Linked DNA regions of Kluyveromyces lactis. The protein of the gene in region 2 binds, or shares a complex with, the protein of the main gene of each other region. Each region holds a gene or a part of one and is shown on either strand. Other genes may lie near its edges. The genes, in order: RAD6 and BRE1. A codon is read from its position in the direction of its gene.

The links.
Region 1: the proteins of BRE1 (region 2) and RAD6 are in contact, whole or in part, in a crystal structure (PDB 7W75), measured with the Kluyveromyces lactis proteins. Residues at the interface, in XP_451665.1 of Kluyveromyces lactis: Ser17 (codon at 2,445), Glu18 (codon at 2,442), Pro19 (codon at 2,439), Leu20 (codon at 2,436), Thr21 (codon at 2,433), Gln22 (codon at 2,430), Val25 (codon at 2,421), Ile26 (codon at 2,418), Phe28 (codon at 2,412), Gln29 (codon at 2,409), Ala32 (codon at 2,400), Leu33 (codon at 2,397), Arg35 (codon at 2,391), Cys36 (codon at 2,388); in XP_452450.1 of Kluyveromyces lactis: Met16 (codon at 979), Lys17 (codon at 976), Glu18 (codon at 973), Ser20 (codon at 967), Met39 (codon at 910), Ile41 (codon at 904), Asp50 (codon at 877), Thr52 (codon at 871), Ser148 (codon at 583), Trp149 (codon at 580), Asp152 (codon at 571), Met153 (codon at 568), Glu154 (codon at 565), Met156 (codon at 559), Ala157 (codon at 556).

The regions. Positions count from the first base shown.
Region 1 is NC_006039.1:502,955-505,586, forward strand, and holds RAD6 (E2 ubiquitin-conjugating protein RAD6), read right to left. Parts: upstream 1,025-2,632; coding exon 530-1,024; downstream 1-529. Other genes in the region: KLLA0_C05610g (uncharacterized protein), read left to right, coding at 1-341; protein kinase PKP2, read right to left, coding at 1,614-2,632. UniProt on the Saccharomyces cerevisiae protein: E2 ubiquitin-conjugating enzyme that accepts ubiquitin from the ubiquitin-activating enzyme E1 and transfers it to a E3 ubiquitin-protein ligase.
Region 2 is NC_006038.1:267,297-271,336, forward strand, and holds BRE1 (E3 ubiquitin-protein ligase BRE1), read right to left. Parts: upstream 2,494-4,040; coding exon 502-2,493; downstream 1-501. Other genes in the region: DUS4 (tRNA dihydrouridine synthase), read right to left, coding at 1-26; AHK1 (Ahk1p), read left to right, coding at 3,528-4,040. UniProt on the Saccharomyces cerevisiae protein: E3 ubiquitin-protein ligase that mediates monoubiquitination of histone H2B to form H2BK123ub1 in association with the E2 enzyme RAD6/UBC2.

The DNA.
Region 1 (2,632 bases), on a different chromosome or scaffold from region 2:
CTTCCAATGATATTAACGTACTAAAACACCATCTTGATGCAAAGGCACCGCTGCCTTGGAAATTTTTAACCGATGACGAAAAACGAGTGTGGTATCTTTTGGGGTTTGGAACTTGGGGTCCGCGGAAAGAGTTCAATAAGGTAAAACCTAATGACATTCAGTGGAATGCGAATGCTAAGGTAAGTTCCAATCAAAGCGATGTTCCTAAGGTGGTGACACCTATACCGATTTGTTCAAGTGACAGAATCGAATGGGAAAAGAAAAAGAGACAACTAGATCCGCTAACAATATCAGTGGGCGTATTCGCCTCGATGATCACTCTCACAGCATTCCTTGTATAAAGAACTATTCGCATGGATATGACAATTTGTCATTTTGATTAAAGCGGTAACGGGTTGAGATTATTATGTAGATATTTGTATGCGTATATATATATATATATATATATATATATTTCGTGTTACTTGGATGCTTCTCGCTCACAAGGAATACTCCGGTTTAAGAAATTGGATCTAATCAATTTCGATTATCATTCTTCATCTTCGTCTTCGTCTGCCATGTCTTCCATATCATCTTCCCATGACTTTTCTACGGTCTCTTTCACACGTTTCACGTACTGAGATTTGTGATCCTGGAATAAAGTTGCTGCTTCAACGTTAGCAGGCGATGCAGGATTGGGATCATTAAATAACGACTGAATTGACGTTAGAATCGATGCAACGTCATATGTCGGAGTCCATCTATTCTGAAGAATGTCCAAGCAAATCTCACCATTGGCATACACGTTAGGATGGAACATCTCACTCAAGAATTTGACGTGCGGCGGTTTATTTGGATATTCTTCATCGAATTCTAGTAATAATCTAAACGTTCCATCTTCATACGGCGTATCTGCGGGGCCGATAATCATTGCATTCCAGATCATCACATTATCAGGTAGCGGCGACGCAGATACGCCTGGTGGCGAGTCTTCTTTCATTCTTTTGAAGTCTCTCATCAACCTCCTCCTAGCTGGCGTAGACATATTGTAGTATTCTTTCTTAAAACTTATTCCCTTAACACTTAAACAGGGTTCTTGAAAAGTGGCTATAATTTCGTTTAACCAATATTCAATGATTAATTTCTATCAGTACAATGACAATGTTTAACAAACGTCAGTGGTTCCTATAATATTTCGGTTTCCCAGTTGTAAGACTATCCTCTGCTATATCCCACTAATTGTTCAACCAGAGACAAGTTCTTAATAATTATTCGTAATCGGCGTCTCTTATTTCTACAGGAAATCTCAATTCAGTAAAATCAATTTTAAAGAACCACAATAGTATATTTCTTAACGAAAGTAGCTCCAGTAACAAATAATCAAACACACAGAACACTACTTGCCGTGTCTTTAACCACTGGCACCTTTCGTTTAGTCCAATAGTTATTCCAAACGCATCCTGTATCTATTTCAACTTTCTTTCGAAATGTGGCGAAATCTATTTGTGCGGGTAATAATAAAACGCTTTCCTATGCCAAACGACCATAAGTCATCGAATGATGATATAAATAAGTAAATATCGGTATATAGAGTGGTTACTATACATTACTATAAGCATTGCTAACTTGGTTTACTAAACTCTATCCAATTGCAATTTGTCCGTATGCCTCATCAAATTTCCTAGTTTGAGAACGGTATCGGTACCGTAACCTTGAATAGAATGTACGGTCAAATCACCGTTCCAATATTCGGCATATACTTTGCATAGTGCGAGACCAATTCCAAGTTTATATCTGGGAGATCGTTTGAGAAGCTCCATTAGCGGTTGTCCAACTTTAAATTTACCTTTCGTCAAATTGTTTTCTGACATCCGATCTAGCGATGTTTGTCTGTAACGATCTGATTTTAGATGAGCACCGTTAGAAGAATCATATAACGACAAAGTCTGCAATCCAGGCAAGTGATGGAAGTTGTCTAGGGATTGCTTGGCTAGCTCTTTTGATTTACCAAAGGACCATATCTGCTTATCAGAATGTGGCACTCCACCACCTCTATCACTGATTCTGAAAAGATAACTTTGGTCATTCGATATTATAGTTACTGTCACCGGAGGTGCCTTTTCTAGTCCCAATCGTATGGTCTCCTTGACAGTCACTTCGTAGCTGTTTCTTAAGATTTCTCCCAATAGGAACTTTAGATGCGATGGTAGGAAATAGAATTCTAGTTCAGTGTCCCCGTTGATAATCAATTCGGGCATCTTGATGCCCGCAAAATACATATTATTGATGTATGCCTCACATACTTCCCTCGCACCGTTCAAGTACTCCTTGGCGTTACATTTTTGGAAAATATCTCCCAAAACAAGTGTGTTTTCCTTCTTTCCACTTAAATAATTGGATGTGATACTCAAATGTTCTTCTACGATCAACCTTCTACTAATCCGGGCTCTCAATAAATCCGAAATCAATGCATCCATTTTATCCTGAGGGTACAAATCCAGGATTCTACATTCCAAAGCACCCATAATCAAATGAGGCAAGTTCAAAGAGTTGAAATCTGATAAAATCGCATGTAGAAACTGACAAAACTTCAAATTGTCCTTCTCGTCCTTGATCTCCGGGAACTTTCTGAACCTTTCAAAGATGTTATAAT
Region 2 (4,040 bases):
GTAGGAAGCTGCACTGACAATGACATCTTACCGAGAGCTCTTGTGCGACCCGGAAAAACCTTAGAGATAATAAAGGACAGTTCAGTACTTTTAGAGACGCTACCAAAAATTTTAAGCGGACGACTAATACTTAGTATTACCGCTTCTGCTCTTGTGTGTCCCACCTTATATATATAGAGAGCCGTTACTATGAGAATAGTCCTGTGATTTCTTTATCTCATCGCAGTAGTCGATTAAATGTCAGACTTTGAATTTTGTTGATTTTTTAATCAGAACTACCGAATTAGGTATTTACAAGCGATATATTAGAATAATGTTACATAGATAATATATACAATGAAAAATGTATATAAGTCAAACTGTGGGGTCAAGGGGGTAAGGATGGATAAGGCATTTTCAAAAAATATATACCATTCTAAGAAGACAGGCGTGTTTACCGTTTGAAAATAAACGGCCTTGTTTTCCAAGATGCACCCTGATAGAATGCGGAATAAGACTCGTTCATAAATGTATGGATAGTAAATCGTTAGATGAGAAAGGTTTGTTACATGTAGGACATTTTCTCATCCTAGCAGCTAATCTTTCTTTGCAGCAAACATCGCAAAACACATGACCGCAAGTCTTGAGGGCAGTATTCTTCCAATTTTTGGAACATAATGAACAGTAGATTATAGTACGGAAATTCTCTAACTCTTCGGCTAGAGCACCATTGTCACCACCATTAGAGAGTAATGTCTTGTATAATTTCTTTGACTTGGCTTCAGCACTGGAAACCTTGATCTTCAGCTGCTTGTTTTCGATATCTTTGTCCTTGATTTTAGATTCGAGCTCAGTCTTAGTTCCGATTAGATTTCTGGTTTCTGATTCAAGACGTTCTGTTGATTTTTTCAATTTATTATTCTCAGATGTCAATTCCACTATCTTCATTGAAGTTTCTTTGTTAGATTCTTTGACCCTCTTCTCATTCTCTTGGGATAGGCTCAACTGCATGTGAACGTTTACGATCTTCTGTTGTAACGTCTTTTCAAGGTCCTTCAATTGAACGATGAGCTCGTTTGATTTGTTCAAATTTTTAGAAAGATTTTTGTTTTCTATCATTATAGCATCTTTGGATCTCATTGCAGCAAAATATTTTTCGCTGGCCTTTGTCTTTTCAACTGTCAATTTACTTAAAACAGATTCTTGGTTCAGGTATGCAGCATACTTTTTGTTTGAAAGATGTGACACCTCTCTGAAGGCCTTTTCGAGATCCTGTAATTCTTTCATTAATGCATCTTGGGACGCATTTTCTGAACTTCTGGATTCAAACTTTTGTAGTTGTTCTTGTTGGATATTCAATGACTTTTCTAAATCCTCTAACATCTCAGATTTGGTCTTTTGTGCCTCCAAAAGAGAAACTTTGGCCAATAATTCATCACGAATTGTTCTGATCCTAACTAAATCTTTCTCTAGAGAAGCATTGTGCTTTTTAAGGGTCTCCTGTGCTAAATTAAACTCTGAGGTAAGTTTATTGTTGAATATTTCTCTATCCGCGGATAGTTGTTGAAACTTGGTTAAGTAGCCTTCATTAATCTGTTGTAACTGTTCATTCTGTTTAGTTAAGGAACTGATTTTTTCATTAGTAACTGAAGCATCTGGTTGATGTTGCGAATTAGATTGAAGTTGGTTGTTAGAAAGCGCTGATTTATTAGATGCTACTGTTTGTCGTAGTTCCGAAAGTTCTCTTTCATTTTGATTTTTCCATTCCGTTAATTCCTTTACCGTAGCCTCCAAGACGGAGATTTGAGTATTCAAGTCATTTATTTCAATTTCGTGGTGAGCCTGAGATACTGCACTTTCTTTATTAGATTGGGATTTGTCTGAGTTATCATTTGACTCGTCATTCACAGAGCTTGCGCCAGTCGAAGATTGCTTCTCTTTCTTTACATTGCTATCATCATCAGCAGTGTTAAACACACGAGAAACACTTTCACTGTCCTGTCTATCATACTGAGCAATTATATTCTCATAATATTCGGTAGCCTTCTTCAGCTTATTTTCAGAGGATTTCAACAGCTTCTGTAAAGTCAAAGTGAGCGATTCTAGCTCCTGTAGTCTACCGATGTTATCAGAGATGTTAGATCCACTGGTCTTCAGTATTAGTTCGCATATCCTAGCACTGTTATTGCTGATTATCTGTGTAAGGGTATGCTCATCCTCAGTATTGATGAGTTGTTGTAAAAAGCGTTTGTCCTGCTCATCGCTGCAGTCCTCAACCACAGATCTAGCCAATACGACTATAGATGAACAGCATCCAGAAACCGACTCGGTGGTCTTCGAAAGCCCAGCCGCTAAAACCTCATTCTCTTCTACAAGCTGGTTAGCTTTGACTCTCCACTTATTCAAACATCTGAACAATGCCTCTTTTTGGAACGCTATTACATCCTTCTGCGTTAACGGCTCAGAAGGATCGGAAAGCTCTAGCTTTGGCCGCTTAACAAAATGGTCATTCATATATGCGGATTTATGTATAGGTCTCAGAAAACTTAGAGCTTGTATGACAATGTGAGCAAGTACAGTAAACCTTTCGTGAATTTCGTAAGCTCAGAATATCACACTGATAATCAGTCTCAAATTATATATCTCTAGATGTGAAAGACTGAAAAAAACCCTCCCACACTAAGTATTTTGCAAACTATAATGTCAGTAATACGTCTTGCCGAGTAGTACCCTTACAAGGCGTTCGAGATACCTCTTCAAGACCGACATTAGTGATGCTATCTTGTCAACTTTTAAAGTAAAACCTTTTTAACTTTTTTTCTTTGAAATATTTTTGGCGAATTTATCGAAAACCAAGGTCACGTGAAGGTAGCAGCAAGTAATCCATGTTCGCAGGGTGGAAAAAGGAAGTGCCAGGCAGCACTTTTTGATAAATTCATTACATGGTAAACTCTTGGGCTGTGTGCGTTCTAATGTGATGGGAAATGGCGTTGAATTTGATGTTATTACATGTGTTACTAATAGATTCTTGTTGTTTTTAGTATACAAAGATTTTTCATTCCGTTTCAATATAAGAATTTCTAAGATCTGAGATCCTTTAAGTTCACATAAAATATATAAAGTTTGTTTCTATATTCATTCAGTATTTTGTGTAGAGACAAGAGAATAGCAGTGGGACCAAATCCAATTGTATTATTGTGAGAAGCCCTAGTGATTGTATCAACACCTGGTGTAAAACGTTCGCTTTGATTATTTCACATTTCATAAGGGATTGCCAAAAGCTCTGACGTCTGTGTTTTGAAATCTTTCTGTCTCTGGGAACAAAAGTAGATTCTCCAGTTCTGACCCAAATTTAGATCTCAGAAAACATTTTATTCGTTCGATAGTTGCCTTACGTGCTTGGGGAAAGGTTTCGTACATGCGGTTAGAGTTATAAAATCCTCTTTTGAACGACCTTTCAGCCAGTAACCTAAGAAAGTTACCAATTAATTGAGATAGAACACTTTGAGAACCAACAGTAAAAGAAATCAAGAACAGACAGATTTAACATGGATACTGGCAGGCAAGATATGCATCTTTTGAATTCTTTGAATAAATTCATTAACCTCACAGCCTCTTCGGGTTCTATTGGTCACGGACCTGACCATGGGTTGTCTGTGTCACAATTGAAAGTGGTGACGAATTTCCTCCGATTGAATTTATTATCGCTATTACGTAAACTGGAACCACTTATTGAAGTATCCTCAGAAGAAGAACTACGTAACAGGCCTAAACAAGATGTACTGACTCAGTGGTGGTTAACTTTACTCAATTTCTTAAACTCAGATCTTATATCAGAAACCACTAATACGCCTCTTACAATAGATGCAATCTCAGTTTCACTCGAATGTATCAGCAGAATTATTACACTTACTGCACTAACCACTACCTCCACTGACAAAGACCGTGAAATTTATTCGTACCACTTACTTTTAACTGTACGATGGGTGACCAACAGGTTGGTTTTAAACTCTAGAAAAAGGGCGGACCTTTTAGAGGTAAGAAATACAGCTGCTCAAATG